Linked DNA regions of Macaca mulatta. The protein of the gene in region 1 interacts with the protein of each later gene in a biochemical or structural test. Links are inferred from orthologs where the notes say so. Each region holds a gene or a part of one and is shown on either strand. Other genes may lie near its edges.

Region 1 (9,968 bases):
AGGGGGCAGGCCACCATCTCTCCAGCCACAGCTGGGATAGGAGACCCCCTTTCTTCTCCCCTCACTTTTCCCATCCCTTTCTTAAACACCCCACCTCATTACTTGCCCTCTTTGCCACCACTCCCCGCCAAGAAGGAGAATTGCTGGAAACCCCACCCCCCCCACCCCCCCCCACCCCGCCAGAGCCCAGGTCCCCGCGCCCAGCCCTCCCGCAGCCACTCCCAGTAGCTAATCCTTTCTCCCTGTTACTCTCTCCTAGAATTTTGTAGCCACCTTGGCTAATGGGATGAGCCTCCAGCCGCCTCTTGAAGAAGTAAATATCCTTTTGTGAGACCCCTTCCCACCCCGACCTCCACATCAATATATTTTGCCACACATCTGGCCCTTTCTTGAGGTCTAACCATACCCCTCTTGCTTCAAACCAGTTTACTGCAGGACCCCAAACACTTAGTAGCAACCCCTCCAGGTTCACAGCCCCCGCTGGCCTCCCCCAGTATCTCGGCTACTTCCTTAACTCCACCTCCAACCCCCCTTTGCCCTTCCCTGTGTCTGCCCCCATTTTCCTTCCCCTCCCCTCCCCAGCTGTGGGCTGAGCTAGAGACGGGGGCAGAGAGACTGGAGAGATGGTAGGCATGGCTGAGGTATCGGGGTGCTCCCCTGGATGGTGCTCTGTGGGGGTCTTGGAAGTGGAAAATGGGGTTGTTAGGTTTTGGGGTTCTTGGGGGGCAAGATGGCAGGCGGGGGCTGTAGGGTTGTAATGGTATGATTTTGGGGGGTTCTATACTACTGTTCAGGGAAAAGTAGGGACCTGGAGGTTTAAGAGACTGTGGGGAGCCCCCAGATCTGACCCATGATCCCATCGGCCCCCTCCCAGGTGTCCTGTGGCCAGGCGGAAAGCAGCGAGAAGCCCAATGCTGAGGACATGACATCCAAAGATTACTACTTTGACTCCTACGCCCACTTTGGCATCCACGAGGTCAGTGGGGACAGCCCCCAAGGCCCCAATCTTAAAGGGGTTAAATGTTGGGGAAGGGGTGGAACCTGTTTTCCCACGCATGCGCACTGCTTCCCCTGGCAGCAGGCCGCCCCTCTGCCCCTCTGCTGCGCACCCCTTAGGGTCGCCTCGCCAAGTCGTTGCCTTGGAGACCGAGGTTAGCCTGAATCTCTGCAGGGGCCTCTCACCGATGGCTGGGGTAGGAGCGTGCATGCGTGCTTGGGGCCTTAGGCCGCGGTCGGTCAGGGCCCACGGTCTCTGCCGCCCTCTAGTGACTGGCGGTGGGACTGCACCTGGCTGCTCCCGGCCTGACAGCTTCTGCACCCTTGAGATCTGACTGAAGACTCTGAAATCCCAGAACGAAGCAGGAGTGGCATTCTAAGGAATTTTCTTTTCCCCCTGAGGCCTTTTTCATAAAATTATGGCAAAATATGCATAAAATTGCCATTTTTCATTTTTAGAGACAGGGTCTCGCTCTGTCGCCCAGGTTAGAGCACAGTGGTACAATCGTGGCTCACCGCAGCCTCGACCTCCCCAGCTCAGGTGTTCCCCCCACTTCCGCTTTCGGAGTAGCTGGCACCACAGGCGTGCGCCACCACTCCCAGCTGATTTTCTTATTTTTCTTTTTTTTTTTTTTTTTTTTTTTTTTTTTTTTTTTTTTTTTTGAGACGGAGTCTCACGCTGTTGCCCAGGCTGGAGTGCAGTGGCGCGATCTCGGCTCACTGCAAGCTCCGCCTCCCGGGTTCCCGCCATTCTCCTGCCTCAGCCTCCTGAGTAGCTGGGACTACAGGCGCCCGCCACCGCGCCCGGCTAATTTTTTGTATTTTTAGTAGAGACGGGGTTTCACCGTGGTCTCGATCTCCTGACCTTGTGATCCGCCCGCCTCGGCCTCCCAAAGTGCTGGGATTACAGGCTTGAGCCACCGCGCCCGGCCGATTTTCTTATTTTTCTGTAGAGATAGTCTTGCCTTGTTGCCCAGGCTGGTCTCAAAGTCTTGGGCTCAAGTGATCTTCCAGCTTTGGCATCCTGAGGTGCTGGGATTACAGGCATGAGCCTCTTCCCCCAGCCTGAGGACTTGTAAAAGCCAAGGGTTCGCTGGTTCTTAGGTGGCAGTGGTGAAGTCTGGCCAAGATGGGAGTTTAGTTCTCTGATTTTTTAAAAAGGGAAACTGGCTGGGCACGGTGGCTCACGCCTGTAATCACAGCACTTTAGGGGGCCGAGGTGGGTGGATCACCTGAGGTCAGGAGTTCAAGACCAGCCTGGGCAATATGGTGAAATCCCATCTCTGTGAAAAATACAAAAATTAGCCAGGCATGGCGGTGTGTGCCTGTAATCGAAACTACTCGGGAGGCTGAGGCAGGAGAATCGCTCGAACCCAGGAGGCAGAGGTTGCAGTGAGCTGAGATTGCCCCACTGCACTCCAGCCTGGGCAACTGAGTGAGATTCCGTCTCAAAAAATAAAATAAAATAAAATAAAATAAAAATAAATAACTGAATAAATAAAAAAGGGAAACTGAGGTGCATGGAAGGAAGCAAGAGGACGGAGTTCCGGCCCTCCGAGCTCTCAGGACACACTGTTCTTCAGCGGGGAATGTGGGGCCCCTCACGGCATCTCTGTGCCGTTCTTCCCTCAGGAGATGTTGAAGGACGAGGTGCGTACCCTCACGTACCGCAACTCCATGTTTCACAACCGGCACCTCTTCAAGGACAAGGTGGTGCTGGACGTCGGCTCGGGCACCGGCATCCTCTGCATGTTCGCCGCCAAGGCCGGGGCCCGCAAGGTCATTGGGGTGAGTCTCCGGGGCTTCCAGGCAGGGCCAGGCCTGGGGAATGGAGGGGGGCCATCAGGGCTCAGGGATGGGACGGAGGGGATGGGGACGGGATAGGTCTCACTCTCCCTTCTCCCTGGGCCCTCAGATCGAGTGTTCCAGTATCTCTGATTATGCGGTGAAGATCGTCAAAGCCAACAAGTTAGACCACGGTGAGCCCAGAAAGAGGATGGGTTTGTGGGAGCGGAGGGGGTGATGCGCCGCTTCCCCAGGGCCCTCTGAAGAGCAGTGGGGTCTACGGATGGCCACAGATTCAGCGGCTCCCCACCCATGGTCTTCTGGGCTGCCGGCCACCTGAGAATTTGAGTGTCAAAATCACAAGCTTAGCACCTCCGTCTTAAAATTAGGGCAAGAAGCACTCTCTAGTTTCTTGAATGAGTAATAGAGTCACGTGGTTGGCCACTGTTCTCACAGTGAGAAGCCTGCCCTGTTTCCCAGCTGCCCTCCTCCGAGTTTAACCAACACTAACTTCTAGAGACGTCTGGACCTACAAACACATATATATGTAAATGTGTTTACATTCACGCGCATAATTTTCACGCCGGTAGCATTTCATACCAGCCTCTTGCCCTTGGCTTCTTAAACACCTGCTTGTCATGTCGTTTAACATATTCCAGGCCGGGCGCGGTGGCTCAAGCCTGTAATCCCAGCACTTTGGGAGGCCGAGGCGGGCGGATCACAAGGTCAGGAGATCGAGACCATCCTGGCTAACCTGGTGAAACCCCGTCTCTACTAAAAAATACAAAAAATTTGCCGGGCGTGATGGCGGGCGCCTGTAGTCCCAGCTACTCGGGAGGCTGAGGCAGGAGAATGGCGTAAACCCGGGAGGCGGAGCTTGCAGTGAGCTGAGATCCGGCCACTGCACTCCAGCCTGGGCAACAGAGCGAGACTCCGTCTCAAAAAAAAAAAAAAAAAAAAAACATATTTCAGGATGTTGCAGCATCCACTCTTTTCCGTGACCACCATTGTAGGTACATCCCAGCTTTTTTTTTTTTTTTTTTTTTTTGAGACGGATTCTCGCTCTGTCACCCAGGCTGGAGTACAGTGGCGCGATCTCGGCTCACTGCAAGCTTCGCCTCCCAGGTTCACACCATTCTCCTGCCTCAGCCTCCCGAGTAGCTGGGATTACAGGTGCCCGCCACCATGCCTGACTAATTTTTTTGTATTTTTAGTAGAGACGGGGTTTCACCGTGTTAGTCAGGATGGCCTCGATCTTCTGACCTGTGATCCGCCTGCCTCAGCCTCCCAAAGTGCTGGGATTACAGGCGTGAAATTTTTTTTTTTTTTTTTGTATTTTTTTAGTTGAGACGTGGTTTCACCATGTTGGCCAGGCTGGTCTTGAACTCACCTCAGGTGATCTGCCCACCTTGGCCTCCCAAAGTGCTGAGATTGGGGAATTTTTTAAAAGAGATTATTATAATGAACATCCAAGTCCATTTGAAGCAAATTCCCACTGTGATGTAATTTTCCTGGTAAATGCGTTTGCATGTGTCTTATCTAATAGATAAGGCTGTTTTGAGAATGTGACCATGCTCTTACTTATTATATCAAGCCTGCCCAGTTAAAAACAAAATCGTGGCCGGGCGCGGTGGCTCAAGCCTGTAATCCCAGCACTTTGGGAGGCCGAGACGGGTGGATCACGAGGTCAGGAGATCGAGACCATCCTGGATAACACGGTGAAACCCCGTCTCTACTAAGAAATACAAAAAACTAGCCGGGCGAGGTGGCGGGTGCCTGTAGTCCCAGCTACTCGGGAGGCTGAGGCCGGAGAATGGCGTGAACCCGGGAGGCGGAGCTTGCAGTGAGCTGAGATCCGGCCACTGCACTCCAGCCTGGGCTACAGAGCGAGACTCCGTCTCAAAAAAAAAAAAAAACAAACAAAAAAACAAAACCAAAATCGTGACTGGGCGCAGTGGCTCACGCCTGTAATCCCAGCACTTTGGGAGGCCAAGGTGGGCGGATCACGAGGTCAGGAGATCGAGACCACCCTGGCTAACATGGTGAAACACCGTCTCTACTAAAAATACAAAAAAATGAGCCGGGCGTGGTGGCGGGCCCCTGTAGTCTCAGCTACTGGGGAGGCTGAGGCAGGAGAATGGTGTGAACCTGGGAGGCGGAGCTTGCAGTGAGCCGAGATCGTGCCACTGCACTCCAGCCTGGGCAACAGAGTGAGACTCCGTCTCAAAAAAAAATAAAAATAAAAAAATCATTACATTGCCTGATACCCAGTTCACATAAAATTTCTGCTCCTGCCTCAAAAATGTCCAGAGCCATGTATGAATTTTAAAACAGTTAAGAGGGTTCATGGCTTCTGCTCACCGAGTTCTCTGAACTGAGTGGGGTCCCCAGGCTGTGGCCCCCGGGGGAGGGGAGGTGAGGGGCAAGCCTCCTGGGGGCTGACGTGGCCGCCCTTGTCTGCCCGCAGTGGTGACCATCATCAAGGGGAAGGTGGAGGAGGTAGAGCTCCCGGTGGAGAAGGTGGACATCATCATCAGCGAGTGGATGGGCTACTGCCTCTTCTACGAGTCCATGCTCAACACCGTGCTCTACGCCCGGGACAAGTGGCTGGTGAGGCCCCAGCGAACGGGTGCAGCTCGCATGGGCTGGGGGCCAAAAGCACTCAATTTTTCCCACAGACGGGACTTACTATGGGGGTGTGGCTGCAAGGTGTTAGAAGGCCACAGCCCGAGCCAGGTGTGACAGACCCTGGTGGGAGATGGTGCGATGTGGGGGGGTTTGTAGGAACAGGAAAACTGTAGCAGGGCACTAGACCAGGTTCTCCGGCCCCAGCAGGCCGCCCCGGGAGAGGTAAGGTGACCGAGAGCTGGATGAAGATGTGGAGGGGTGGCCAGGGCAGGTGTTCCCTTGCTGCATGTGGAGCAGCAGGGAGGCCCGTGTGGAAGGAGGGTCTAGAAGGGCAGCAGGAGGAGCAGTGGAGGTAAGGGGTGACAGGGCATGTGCAGATTTTGTGGGGCCTTATGGGACCCCGCGCGACTTTGCTTTTCCTCTCAGAGCAGCCAGGGAGGGTCTGAGGATCCCCAGAACCTCGAGGGACAGGAGCTGACTGAGGTGCCCCTGGGTGCCCTCTGGCGGCCGTGTGGGAAATAGACCAGGGGGTGAGGGGTGAGTGCCGCTGCGACATGAGGGTGGCTCAGACCAGGGCAGAAGGTCACATCTCGGGGGCAAGAGTCAGGGCAGCATTGCCAGGCCCCACCCTTCATGCCTCGCCCTGCCCCTCTGCAGGCGCCCGATGGCCTCATCTTCCCAGACCGGGCCACGCTGTATGTGACGGCCATCGAGGACCGGCAGTACAAAGACTACAAGATCCACTGTGAGCGTGGCCCAGGAGCGGGCGGGCGGGGCCCCGGGTGGGCTGCCGCGGGCTCACCCCCTCCCTGCCTGCCTCCCCAGGGTGGGAGAACGTGTATGGCTTCGACATGTCTTGCATCAAAGATGTGGCCATCAAGGAGCCCCTAGTGGATGTGGTGGACCCCAAACAGCTGGTCACCAATGCCTGCCTCATAAAGGTGAGGGGGGGGTGGGCATGGCCAGGTGCCCCCTGGGTTGAAACCAAAGAGAGGCCATCACCTGGCCCTGGCATGGGACTTTGGGGCCCAGAGTGTTGGCCTGAGGTCTCAGAGCCTGACCTGCCAGCCAGAGGTGGTGCTAGGGGCCCAGGAAAGACATTTCATCCTTTAAACATCTTTGTGAGCGCTGCCGTGTGAGAACCACGTTTGGCACTTGGTGTCCGGCAGAGGACACACCCGCAGCTGGTAGCTAAAGCCCACAGCCCGTACACGGGAAGGCAGGACCCGGGGCGATGAGCGGGTGCACACGCTGCAGAAGAGCAGGGGGCCAGGCTGGGATCCGAGATGTGCCTGTGGTTGCAGCTACTCAGGAGGCTGAGGCGGGAGGATCTCTTGGGCCTGGGAGTTCAAGGCTGCAGTGAGCTGTGATCACATCCCTGCACTCCAGCCTTGGTGACAGTGTTTTGTTTTGTTTTTAACTTTTTTTAACTTCTGAGACCCTGTTTGTTTATTTATTTATTTTTTCTTTTTTTTTTGAGACGGAGTCTTGCTCTGTCGCCCAGGCTGGGGTGCAGTGGCCGGATCTCAGCTCACTGCAAGCTCCGCCTCCCGGGTTTATGCCATTCTCCTACCTCAGCCTCCCGAGTAGCTGGGACTACAGACTCCCGCCAACCCGCCTGGCTAGTTTTTTTTTTTTTTTTTTGCATTTTTTAGTAGAGATGGGGTTTCACTGTGTTAGCCAGGATGGTCTCGATCTCCTGACCTTGTGATCCGCCCGTCTCGGCCTCCCAAAGTGCTGGGATTACAGGCTTGAGCCACCGCGCCCGGCCGACCCTGTTTAAAAAAAAAAAAATAAGGCAACGAGTATTTGTTGAGCTGGGATGTGTGAGCCGGGTGAAGCTGGGTGGTTGGCCGGGGGTTCCTGTGGGGAGGAGGAAGCTGTTGAGTGGGAATGGAGAGGAGACTGGAGGGGCAGGGACCCCACCCAGGCCACCCTCCTGAGAACCAGCGGAACTGGTGCAGGGTTTTCAGTTGGTGTTTGGATTGCCGTTTGAAGCCATCATGCTGGTGGACTTGTGAAGGGTTGGGGAGAGTGGGGAGCGCGGAGAGGGGGGAGCGCGGAGAGGGTGGAGCGCGGAGGGGGGAGCGCGGAGAGCGGGGAGCACGGAGAGGGGGGAGCGTGGAGAGGGGGGAGCAGGGTGCCTGCATTCCCAGGAGGTCTGGCCAGGTGGGGTCGGGGCGGGGTGGGCTCTGGACAGAGTTAGGGTGGCGGCGCCAGGTTTGGGTGCGGGAGAGAAGGGAGCAAAGAATCTGGGCTCAAACCGAGGCGGTTTATTGGGAGCCGGACAGTCAGGATGAGGAGTGAATGAGGAGCTGAGGCTGGGTGCCAGTAAGGGAGGGCCAGCGGGAAGGGGACAGTGAGGTCACAGGCCCTCTGGGAGCTTGAGGGAGGGAGGAGGGGATGAAGCGAGGTGGGGACACATCCCGGAGCTCACCCTCTCCTGTCCTGCAGGAGGTGGACATCTACACCGTCAAGGTGGAAGACCTGACGTTCACCTCCCCGTTCTGCCTGCAAGTGAAGCGGAATGACTACGTGCACGCCCTGGTGGCCTACTTCAACATCGAGTTCACGCGCTGCCACAAGAGGACGGGCTTCTCCACCAGTGAGGCGGGGCCCGCAGGGCTGGGGGCTGCTCCTGAGCCAGGGCCGAGGGGCACCCACATAGTGGAGGGGGTGACAGAAACGGGCAGAGGGGCCGGGCACGGTGGCTCAAGCCTGTAATCCCAGCACTTTGGGAGGCCGAGGCGGGTGGATCACGAGGTCAGGAGATCGAGACTATCCTGGCTAACATGGTGAAACCCCGTCTCTACTAAAAATACAAAAAACTAGCCGGGCATGGTGGCGGGCGCCTGTAGTCTCAGCTACTTGGGAGGCTGAGGCGGCAGAATGGCGTGAACCTGGGAGGCGGAGCTTGCAGTGAGCCGAGATCACGCCACTGCACTCCAGCCTGGGAGACACAGCGAGACTCCGTCTCAAAAAAAAAAAAAAAAAAAGAAACGGGCAGAGGGAGCCATGGGGACATGTGTGTTCCAGCGTGAGCTCTGCCATGTAGCAGTCACATGGCCTTGGGCAAGTGACCTGAGTGTGCAGTGCCTCAGTTTCCTCATCCACAAAAGCCTGACACGGTCCCTGTCTCCAAAGCTGAATGACAGGGAGGTGACTCACGGACAGCAGTCCCGTCAGCTGTCAGGGGGGTGGACATTCCAACAGAGGGAACACAAGACTGGGGCCAGGGCAGCAGGCCAAGGCCAGCTGACCCGCCTGCGCCCCCAGGCCCTGAGTCCCCGTACACGCACTGGAAGCAGACAGTGTTCTACATGGAGGACTACCTGACCGTGAAGACGGGCGAGGAGATCTTCGGCACCATCGGCATGCGGCCCAATGCCAAGAACAACGTGAGGCTCTGGGCAGCTGGGCAGGAGGGTGGCAGCCGGGGTGGGGAGCATGGATAGGGGCAGTGGTAGGGGGGAATGGTGGCAGCGTAGGGGATGGGGGTAGCTGGGGCGGATGGGGGCAGCTGGCAGGGGCGAGTGCCTCTGCCTGTTCCCGGGTCCCTGAGCCCCTCAGCCCCACGCCTGTCTACACAGCAGATTTCTTAGCATTTACTGGAAGATGGGCCTGGGGACCCAGGCCAAAGCCCTGTCCTCCTGGTGCTTCCAGTCTACACAAGGGGATCAGTGACATGGTGATGCCAGTGGGAGGTGACGTCTGTCAGGCTGGGAGCAGGGCAGACAGGTGTTGGCGTGGGTGACCTCCAGGGCAAGAGGCGGCCCCGGTAGAGCGCACAGGGTTTGCTAGCCCAGGTGGGAGGCATGAGAGGAGGAGAAAGGCAGCTTTTTGTTTTCCACTCCCCCTTTTTCCTCCTGAGCACCTGGTAGGAGCTGCCATCACCTGAGATCAGGGGGTTTCCAGGGGAGCTGGGGGGGGCTTCTGGGAGAGAGGGTCTGGGCAGAGAGGTCCAGTGTGGCGGGTTTGAGCAGGCAGGAGGATGGAAGGCCGGGAGCCTGGAGTCACCGGGAGTGGTGTGGGCTGGAAGAGTGAGTCCCGGCCCATGGGTGCGAGGGTGGGTGGCACTCAGGGCAGTCATGGAATGTGGGCCCCGGGACGCCCTCGAGCCCGTGACAGCAGCAGTTGTCAGCTGGGCAGTTTCAGTGCCCCCCACCCCCGACAGAGGACGTTCGTCACCATCTGTGGAAACATTTGTGGTTGTCACTCTGGAGAAGGGGTGCTCCTGGCATCTGGTATGTAGGGGCCAGGGGCTGGTAAACGTCCTACAACCACAGGACCACCCCCTGCAAAGACTCCTGTAGCCCCTGGGGCCACGGCGCTAGCTGGGAAACAGATACTGGAGAGGGAGGAGGAGTCCTCGGGGCTGTTGGCAACTTGATCCCCTCTTCCTGTGCTGGAGGGTATGGGGGGTCTTCCGGAAGCCTGGGAGGAGAAGTGGAGACAGAGGCTGGACCACTGCGTTTCACTGGAATGTTTGCCTGAGCAGAAGTGGGCTTGGGAGAGGTTTTCTGATTTATGAAAGAAGCAATCACTGCGTTGCTGATAGG
Region 2 (10,359 bases), on another chromosome or scaffold:
CTAGAACCCTGTTACTTCTAGCATCTTCACAGGGAAATTAGAATCCTCATTAAAGGTGGAAGTAGGCTGGGCATGGTGGCTCACGCCTGTAATCCCAGCACTTTGGGAGGCGAAGGCAGGGGGACCACTTGAGCTCAGGAGTTTGAGACCAGCCTGGGCAACATGGCAAAACCCCGTCCCTACAAAAATTACAAAAATCAGCCAGGTGTGGTGGCACATGCCTGCAGTCTCAGCTACTCAAGAGGCAGAGGTGGGAGAATTATCTGAGCCCAGGAGGCAGAGGTTGCAATGAGCTGAGATTGCACCACTGCACTCCAGCCTGAGCGACAGAACGAGACCCTGTCTCAAAAACAAAACAAAAACAAAAAATACACACACACACACACACACACACACACACACACACACACACACAAAACAAAAAAAACAACAAAAACAGGGAAGTAACGAGCTACTTTCCAGGGAAGAGGGGATGCTTGGAAATGGCCCAGCCATACAACCAGATTTTTCTTTTATGCCACCCACATGCTGTAGATTGAGTGCAACTGAGGAGAAATACTATTAAACGCAAAGAAAGGATTTGGATCTGAAAGGGAAACGCAAATGTACAATGTGAGAATTTTATCTTCTCTACGCCACACAAGTTTATCCTGCTACATTTTTATTAAAGTAACAAAAAGGTGTACATTTGTCCATAAGCTGTACATTCTTCCATATAAAAACACTATCATACAATTAGTAACCTTTGTCTTTTCTGTCAGAATAGCTTACAAACATGCTACTATTATTTATTTTTACTTAATAGGAGAGACAGGTCTGCTCAACAGTCCAGCTCGGGGGTTTCGTTGTTTTTAAAGTGAACATCATCAAGAAGAGAAGAGAGACAAGATTAAGCATGAGACCATGGGGCTGCTTCTAAAAAGGCAGGGACCTGTTTGCAGACAAGATGCAAGAACACAGCCTGCAGTGATTCACAGCTTTGTTTCAACCCACAAGCCAGAAAATTAGCTCTTGGGTCTGTGGGCCCAAAGTGAACTTTAAAGCAATAAAGACTGGAAGCAGGGTCTGGGAAGGCAATACAAAATGTGGAGAGTTGAAAAGGAGGCAGAGCTGGCAGGAATGGGTAGGGAGAGTGTTTGGTAAATAGCACCTTTGAGTCAAAATTGAGCAGTTAAGAAATCCAGGAAAGGGGACTGGCTGTGGGGAGGGGAACCTGGGGGTAGAGGAAGTGGGGGAAGATTCCTCACTAAGGGGCAACAGCAGGAGGGTGGCCATCCTGGCCAAATGCCCTAGCCCTGTCCTTCTTCAGGTGATTCGGTTTGGGAAACTTGAGGTCTTTTGAGGACCCCTCATCCATGTCACTGAGAAATTGAAGGAAGGGAGTTTCTTCCCAGTGTAGCTTTCCACTTTTCTCCAACCCACAACAGTAAATATTGCACAAGTCTACGACAAATTTGGATTGTACTGAGAGAGACAGCAACCTTTCCCACAGATGCTCTGAGCACCAGGGAGAAAAAACAGTGCCCAAGGTTTGGCTTTTATTTAGTGTCGGCCCTGCAAGAATACCAAGTAGTCTTGCAGAACATGGGGCACTCTCCCATTCAGCCAAGGAATACATGCAAGGCTGACCAGCCAGCCATCATCCCAAGGAGAGCAGGAGAGATGGTTCCCTAAGCCCACCAGGGCATCAGGAGGTTCCGAGAGCCAGTTTTCCTCCAGACCCTCCTGGGACCCAGGGGGCATATTGCACAGTGACTGAGAACTCTTGTCCTAGAAAATAGGGTAGCTCCACGGCCCGACTGGAAGGGAAGAGGGAGGAGAGGGTGAGAGGAGAGTTGTGCTTTTGAAAAGAAGGCAGTAATAGAGGACCTGGAGTTCCCTGTAGCTTTTGAGCCACCTCTCAAAGGGATCATGGCAGCAGCAACAAGACTTCCATGTGGTTCCAAAAAGAAGAGTTTGGCCAAAAAACATCCCCAGTGGATACTCTTTGGGTCCCAAAATTCCATTGCAAATCACCCCCAAATTATTTGCCACACATACACACAAAGCAGCACTAGCAAAGCAAAGGTTTTGTGCAGAGTTCCCTCCCATCCTAACCCCAGTAACTTCCAGTTCCCTCCTCCCCCCTCAGAAACAAAACAAAACAAAACAAAAACCCCCAAAGCTTTAGATTCCTGGCTGGAGAGCAACATCTATAGGCCCCTGAGGGTAGAATTAGAAACAAGTCATGATTTCAAGAAAAGCTGCTTAGGACAGTAGGAATCAGGAGAGGCCTTTTCACTCTCTGCCCAGGACCTCATTAGAAAATTAAAAGAAATATAAAGTATAATTAAAAAGAAAAAGGAAAAAAAAAAAGATAACATAGTATTATTTAAGTCTAGGCATGAATGCCCCTGAGTAATAGAGGAGCCAGGGATGCAGGTGTCTGGCTGGGGGAGACAGAGAGTTCTGAACTTGGCCTCTCTTCCTCCCCCAGGGCAAATCCCAACCTCTCTGTTCACAGTTGCTAATCTTGCTCGCTCCCTCTCCCATCTTCCTGGGGCGCTAGCCAAACGTCTCCCACTTCACCTTGGCTAGGTCTACCCCCTAACAGCTCCCCCTCCTATAGGCAGACACTGGCTCACAGACTCAAGCACACACAACAGTTCTCTCCAAAGGCACCTGGGGAGGCCACTTCCAAGCAGCTCCCTTGAAGGATTTTTTTTCTTAAAAAAAATCTTTTGGTTTTTTTCCTCCTCTTTTCTTAAAAAAAAAATAATATATATATAAATAGCTCTTCATTTAAAAATACAGTTCCCCAGGTTGAGGTATGTGGTGGCCTGTTGTCACGGCAGCATGAGCACGGCGGCGCCCAGGGCGGGGGCGGAGGGGTCTAGCTGGAGACCGCCATCACGTAGTTCTTGGAGGGGCTGCTCCGGCCCAGCAGCACTTGGTTCTTGCAGGTGAGGAGCCCACAGGAGGCGGCCACTGGGGCCTCCTCGTACAAGACGCAGATGGAGCCGTCCTCCCCAATGCGGTAGGACACCTCATAGGGGTCCACCCACAGGGTCAGCTCGCTGGGCAGCAGCTGGTGCAGCTGGGGCTGGCTGAGTCCGATCTGGCTGGCCACCCTGCTGATGATGGGGTCCATCTTGTGGTTGATGCGAATGCAGCGGTAGCCCGAGCCCTTGGACGGCTTTTCAGGAAACCAGTGGTGTTTGTAGTGCTCTGTGGAGACAGGACGGGGGGAGATGCCCTGGTTAGAGCAGCTGGGCCATGGATACTACCACAGAGCAGGGAGGAGGGTCAAGGAACAGGAGAGGAAGGGGCCCTTTAAGTAAGGGAGGTGGATTCCTCTGAGTTCCAGGACCCTCTTGCCACTTAGCAGAGAAAATTTTATGGAAGCGGGAGAGATCTGCTTTCCTGCTTCCAGAACGTGTGTGTGTGTGTGTGTGTGTGTGTGTATGTTGGGAGGGGATTCCAGAGCTCTGGGGTACTCTCCAGTGGCCAGTGTATTGCTTTTGGCACACCCCCAGTTTCAGGAGGGAAGGGTGTGACTGGGGCTGGCATGTCCAGGCAGGGCCTCTGGAGACCTGTGAGCTGAAGTTTCAGGGCCAGGAAGGCTGCCAACATTGTTGGGTCCACAGCAAGTAATTGGGCCTCCCACCCTGTGTTCCCTCTGCTTCCTTCAGAAGAGTCAGGGAACCTTCCTTAGCAGTGCCCAAGGGAGTGAAAACTGGGTTGTTTTGATGAAACATCTGTTTTTCTCAGAAGGCAGGGTCTGTGTGGGTGCGTTCCGAGATGGCTATCGCTTCCCCAAACTGACAGCAACCAGCTAGAAACAGCTGGGAGAGAGGTCTCTCCCCAGCCAGCGAGCGGGCTGCTTATCTCTTCACCTCCCAACTCGAAGGCCAGCAGGGCAGGGTCACCAGCTACCAGGCTCTCCTCCCTACCACAATAGGTGGCAGATGGCTAAGGGGAACCAAAGAGAACACAAAGGGGGCCCAAATTCCAACTTGAAGCGAGTCAGCAACCAGTGGACTGCCCCAGGCACAGCGCACCCCGACCGGCAGGAAGAACGGCACTGGGACTCCGAGTTGTTGAAAAGGCTCGACTGCACCTTCTTCCCTCATCGGGACCCCTCGGCCGACCGGGCGGCCCGCAACAACATCCATCGAGGGTCTTAAGATCTCGAGGGTCCAGCGAGGGAGACGAGCCCGTAATGAGACCGGGACATAAGCTGGGGACTCGGGCTGGCACTCCAGGACCAGGGTTTGCGCCTCCGAGAGCGTGGAGGGGCGCGCCCCATCAGAACAGCCACGGGCCGAGACCCGAGCACAGGGTTGGGGAGGAAGACCCAGGAAACTGGGGACTGCGGGCCGCCCCGGGGGTCGGAGGAGGGCCACCGAGTCCCAAAGCTGCTCCTGTGGGTGACCCTGCCGCAGGAGTAAAGGAAAGACGGCCCTGGCAGGGAGGGGGCCGACCCCCGGTGGCGCCAGGCCCCTCGGCACGCGCTCACCTGTGAGTGCCTCCTGGAGCGCCCCGCTGAAGACCTTAAGCCGCTGCTCGCTCACGCAGCCCCGGGTCCTCAGGAGGCTGGAGAGGAAGCCTACGGCGGCGGCGATCTCCGGGAGCATGTCGGTTCCCTTCCCGTGGCTCATGTCGCGCGCGGCTCGGGCTCAGTGAGAGGTCTCGGGCGGGAAGTACGGGTCCACAAGCCAGCGCTGCCCTGGCCACTGCTCGGGCTCTGCCCGGACTTTCCCCGGGCCGCCTTTTTCAGGAGGTCCAGGGAGGTGGGGACAACCGGTGGCGGCGCTCATTGGCCGCGGCCAACGGATGGGGGCGGGGCTCGGGCCCGCCCCGCCCCGCCCCGCGCTCCGCCGCTCTTCCCCGCCCCCGCCACCCCAGCCCCCGCCCTCGCAGCCTTGGCGGCGCTGAGGTCATCGCTCGCTGACGTCAGTGCTAGGAACCTGCGCCCAGCTGAGCTGAGCGAGACGAGAGGAGAAAGCGAGGCTCGGGGAGGAGGCTCCCGAGTACTCCGCGCCGGGCAGGCCCCGGCCTCGCCTCTCCTCCCATTTTTAAGGCTCGGGTTAGAGGCCACCTCCTCCGAGAAGCCTTCGGTGACACCACCAGAAGGCTTCCCAGAACCGTTCCCAGGTGGTTCCCCTTTCGGATTCCCACAGCATTTTCCAACCATACACGGTCAGAACCACTCACCAGGACGTGTTGTCACCATTTTACCTCTTTGCCTCGTCTCTTAACTAGATGAAATGGGTTCCTCTTGGCTCTTTGGAAAGGGAGGCTGTCTTCTGCTTATTTCCGTAGTAATCCCACCTCCCACAACAAGTTCCGTTCTGCAGCAATGCCTTTTCTCTTGCTGAGAAACATTCAAGTCTAAGTTTTATGGTGGATAGGGGTAGGGGGTGTGTTGCAAGACTTTTGTCTTCTTAACTTATTTTTCTAGTTCTCACTTTCCTTAAGTGCTAATTTTTTTGAATTAGTAGTCTGCTCTCAACTGTACATATTTTTCCGTCCACTCCCTCCTTCCCCAGCCGTCTTCCTTCCTTATTGTGGATTGGACCTTCTCGAGAAAGAATCCGGCCTCAGTCTCCCTCTTCCACACTCAGGGACCGCCACCATCACAGGCACTCGGTGGATGTCTTCCGAATGGGGATAACTTCTACCCAACACCCCGAAGCCTGGCCCAGGGTCTGGCATACAGATGCCCAGTGTTTGTAAGGTGACTCAAACCCAATGGCCTCTGTAAATTCTTATTTTCCTTGAACTCTGAACCCTCTGACCACCTTCTGGAAGCAGTGTCCCTGTCCTTTTTCCTTATGCCCCAGGCTTCTCCACCCCACTGCCTGGCTGTGCTGGCCCTGGATCCCTTCCTGCCCCGTTCCCCACACTATGTCTCCTCAGTCCTCCTCCCTTTTCTCTAGGCTGCCTTTCCTTGGAGAGGTCCTATGCATGTAGTCTGCCTTGATGTTTACTGTTTTACAGTGACTTTTCTCATCTGCACAGTCTGTCCTCCTGTCTTTCCATCCTGCTCCTGTTCCCACCAGCTCTGTCCTCTCCCTCAGATGTCCAGCCACCACCTCAATGTGAGCGGAAGCCCATTGTCTTCTCCAAAGCTAGCTCCCTCTTGATCTCCATTTCTGTCAGCCATACCATCATTTCCCAGTCACTCTGTACAGAAAGGTCAGCCTCTCCTTGTGCTTTGCTCCCCAGATCCAGTCCCCAAATCGGTTGCTTCTTTCTGTCTAGATGGTTGCAGTGGATTCCATCCAGTCCCATCCCCAGGCCACCCTTCCCACTGTTAGTGGAGTTCCCTTGGTAAAATACTTAATTCCCTAGCTCTTCTCTTGATCAGGTCATTCCGAAACATCCCCTCCCAGATTGGTCTACTAATTCCAGTCCAGACTCCTTTGCCTAATGTTTAAGACCCTTCATAATTTAGCCCCATCTGCTTTTTTAGGTTTCTGCTACTTTGTGTTCCAGGGTCACTCTTCTCACTGCCCTCTAAGTATCACAGCGAATCTACAGCCTGGATCCCTCAACAGTTTGCCCATGATCCCCATCTCTGCCCTGTAACGTGGTCCCCATTCCATGCATGCCTGAACATGCATGACCTTGCTGCTCCGTGGCTCATGTCCTTATCTCCTGCATACATCATTGTCTCTACCACGCCCCACCCCCACCTCAATCTCTCACACTGCTGAAGGTACAGTGTAATATTGGTCTTCCACCTTGAAAGCCTATGCTGACCATTCTCTCGAGGCTGAGTTAGTCATCCATACCATTCACTGGGCATTCACAATCTATCATTTGGCATTGTTAGTGATCTTTTTAGAGACTCAACCACAGTTTGCAAGTTACTTGAAAACAGGTTACTATGCTCACATGTCCCACATTTCTGGGACAATTCAGAATTCAAATATGCTGCTCTACTGCTTCATATAACAAAACGACCCCAAATTCTAATATTTTGGCATTAAACGTATCTCTTAGACGGCCTCTTTCACTGGCTTCTCCCCAAACGCTGGATCAGGCCAGATGAGGCCATTATTTCTCCTCACTGAGGGGAAAGAATTATTTGTTACAGGAAACAGGGCTGACCCTGGAAACAAGTTAACTTAAAGATATACCAAACCATACAGACCAGGTGTCAGCAAGGCCAGAACTGACCAAGGTCAACCACTAAGGAAGTCAGGGAAATAGGTCAAGATATAGACAGCTATATAGGGTCATTCAGCACCTAAATCTGAAAACACCAACCATCTTCCTGGGTATGTCTGTGACAGGGGTGAGTCGTAGGAGATGCCTAACATCTCTTGCAACTGCACTGCTGAAAAAAATATTGTGGTAGCCCCTCACCTGTTTTTTGCTTTAGAAAATAGAATTCTGTCCTTATGTAGATTTTTCTGTCACTCACCAGGCCACACAGTGAATTCTCAAGAGAACCAGGACTGGGACCAAATTTTCTGACTTCAAGTATGGGACCTTTTCATTAGACTGTGGTGCCCTTCTGCTGCTGTTGCATGGGCCGCCGTCCTACAGAGCTGTCATTGCAGATGATGTAGTGAATGGGACAGGAGCCGGGAGGCTGGAACCCTTTGTCTCCACCGTTACCCGGGGTGTGTCTTGGCCTCCTCATTGGTGATTAGTTTGTGAACTTTGTGTAGGGCAGATATGATCCATAAATACCAGAAGGCAGTGCCCCCGCTTTCTCCTCTTTTCTTTTTCTTTTTTTTTCTTTTTTTTTTTTTTTTTTGAGATGGGATCTCGCTCTGTCATCAGGCTGGAGTGCAGTGGCCTGATCTCAGCTCACTGCAACCTCCGCCTCCCGGGTTCAAGCAATTCTCCTGCCTTAGCCTCCCGAGTAGCTGGGACTACAAGCATGTGCCACCATGCCCAGCTATTTTTGTATTTTTAGTAGAGGTGGGGTTTTATCATATTGGCCAGGATGATCTCGATCTCTTGACCTCGTGATCCACCCACCTCGGCTTCCCAAAGTGCTGGGATTACAGGTGTGAGCCATTGTGCCCAGACTCTCCTCTTTTCTTTCTATACACAAGCCTAGGGAGAGGAAGCTTAATTTATCTCACATTCAAAGTTCCCAAGTCAATATACAGCGTAGCCGGGTGTGGTAGCTCATGCCTGTAATCCCAGGACTTTGGGAGGCTGAGACAGACTGATCATTTGAGGACAGGAGTTTGAGACCAGCCTGGCCAACATGGCGAAACCCAGTCTCTGCTAAAAATAAGTAATAATAATAATAATAATAATAATAATAAATTAGCTGGGTGTGGTGGCGGGCGCTGGTAAAGCCTACTCCAGAGGCTCAGGCAGCAGAATCGGTTGAACCCAGGAGGCAGAGTTTGCAGTGAGCCGAGATCACGACACTGCACTCCATCCTGGGCAACAGAGTGAGAATCCATCTCAAAACATAAAAAATAATTAATTAAAAATATACATATGCATACGGTGTAATTGTACTCAACTCTGGATTTAGGTTCTCAATCAATTTCTGAACAAATACATTATAGTAGTCCCAACTGTTTTTGAAATTTCCTGAAACTGCTCTTAAATTGCTAGGACTAGAATCCTTAGAAGCTCTAAAAGTCAAGCTGTCATCCCTGCTTTTTTTCTTTGCATGTTGCCTGTTGCTTCCCATTCCTTGGTATAATCAAGGTGCTGTTTGAGCAGCAAGATAAGGAGAATGGGTCGCCTCTCCCTCCCCACCTGTCCTTCCTGCTTCTCTTTCTCCATTCCTGCCCTTCCTCCTCCTCCTCTTCCTCCTCATTCTTCTCTCCCTCCCTCCACTCCCACCCAAGGGTCTTGGGTTGAATTTTGAACTTTAAATGTTGACATGTGCTGACCAGTGACTTCACCCACTGAAGAGGGGGAATGGGGTGGTAGAAGTGAGGGTGGACTTCATTTATGCCTCATCTGGACCAGAACTTCTGTCCCATTTGACCTCAGACCTATTGATTCCTCTAGTCCTGGTTGCTCACCTCGCCTACTTGCATGGCCCACCTGTGTGACCCACTCAGGAGTGACCCACCTGCTCTCTTCAGACCATATTCCCATTCAGAAGTGGGTCCCACTCCTCAGGCCTCTGTGCTGGCGCTGTTTGTGGGGTTAGCATGCAGCCCTGCTCTCCATTTCCAGCTCAGAAGCAACTGGATCTTTGTAAGTAATTTCTGTCTTTCCCAGAGCCCTGTTGGGCCTGTGGGGACTTGGCTTGGTTGCCTCAATTTTCTGAGCACAGGTAGAAACCTGAGGTTGAGTGAGGCAGGCAGAGGCTGGGCTGAGATATTCTAGGAGGATAACATCAGGTCATTTCTACACCATGCAGAGTGTATTTTTTGTTGGTCTGTGTGTGTGTGTCAGTGTGGTTAGGGAGTTATTAGTATATATATTTGAGTGAGCATACATACTTAGATTGCACTTGGGCTCTGATGTGTGTGGGTAGCAGGGAATATGGATATGTGTTCGCTATGTTAATAAGCACATACAATGGTATCTGTTGAAGAAGGACGTCTTGTGAAATGTTATGATAGAGTGTACATTTTGGTGGAGTATGTCTGAGTATAGCTGGTGCAAATACTAATTTGATCTTTCCTCTTAACAGACCTCATTGGTGACAACTTGACTGTGCTGACCAGAGCTGATAAGAAACATCACCCGGGGAAGACCAGCTGCCTCTTCCTCACTTCCTAATCAGGGTGGAAATACTGCTAAATATATCACAACTCTTTGCAAGCATCATTGGGTAACGATCAGGACATCTTTGGGGGTTCACTATCAGTTTCTCACAAAGTTGAACCTTTCAAGGTCAGTTCTAGGCCAGCCAGTCTGGGAGTCATTCTTTAGAATCAGAAGAGAATTTAAGAAGAGGAGAAAATGACATTGTCTCTAAAACCTGCTAATGAGAACTACAGGAAGGTAGCTATTTTTAATATTTCTGGTTTGAACCCCTTCCTCCACCCCAGAATGAACTGAGAGTAGGGACAGAAATAGATAATGCAAAGATGATTAGGGTTGAGGGTAAGCAGAAAACTACCCATCTAGACTGAAGGAAGGCTTGCTAACACATCAGTAAGCAAACAGCTTTCTAATCTGCAGGTAACAAGTTTTACATCCCTGAGGACACTTTTTGAGATGGGACTTTGTTGTTTTTTGTTTTTTTGAGGCAGAGTCTCGCTCTGTCACCCAGGCTGGAGTGCAGTGGTGCGGTCTTGGCTCACTGCAACTTCTGCCTTCCGGGTTCAAACGATTCTCCTGTCTCCAGCCTCCCAAGTAGCTGGGATTACAGATGCACACCACCACCCCAGCTAATTTTTTTTGTTGTTGTATTTTTAGTAGAGATAGGGT

What was found.
Region 2: the proteins of PRMT1 (region 1) and BTG2 form a complex in vitro, tested with the Homo sapiens proteins (2 studies listed by BioGRID). The link is inferred for Macaca mulatta from reciprocal best matches to the Homo sapiens genes PRMT1 and BTG2.

The regions. Positions count from the first base shown.
Region 1 is NC_133424.1:62,133,241-62,143,208, forward strand, and holds part of PRMT1 (protein arginine N-methyltransferase 1), read left to right. Parts: intron 1-259; coding exon 260-313; exon of another isoform or gene 314-317; intron 318-527; exon of another isoform or gene 528-623; coding exon of another isoform or gene 624-641; intron 642-874; coding exon 875-976; intron 977-2,628; coding exon 2,629-2,784; intron 2,785-2,911; coding exon 2,912-2,975; intron 2,976-5,248; coding exon 5,249-5,391; intron 5,392-6,066; coding exon 6,067-6,154; intron 6,155-6,234; coding exon 6,235-6,350; intron 6,351-7,863; coding exon 7,864-8,014; coding exon of another isoform or gene 8,015-8,106; intron 8,107-8,406; coding exon of another isoform or gene 8,407-8,464; exon of another isoform or gene 8,465-8,685; coding exon 8,686-8,807; intron 8,808-9,968. UniProt on the Homo sapiens protein: Arginine methyltransferase that methylates (mono and asymmetric dimethylation) the guanidino nitrogens of arginyl residues present in proteins such as ESR1, histone H2, H3 and H4, FMR1, ILF3, HNRNPA1, HNRNPD, NFATC2IP, SUPT5H, TAF15, EWS, HABP4, SERBP1, RBM15, FOXO1, CHTOP, MAP3K5/ASK1, MICU1 and NPRL2.
Region 2 is NC_133406.1:61,037,480-61,047,838, reverse strand, and holds BTG2 (protein BTG2), read right to left. Parts: upstream 4,718-10,359; 5' UTR 4,641-4,717; coding exon 4,499-4,640; intron 3,208-4,498; coding exon 2,873-3,207; 3' UTR 2,743-2,872; downstream 1-2,742. UniProt on the Homo sapiens protein: Anti-proliferative protein; the function is mediated by association with deadenylase subunits of the CCR4-NOT complex. Activates mRNA deadenylation in a CNOT6 and CNOT7-dependent manner. In vitro can inhibit deadenylase activity of CNOT7 and CNOT8.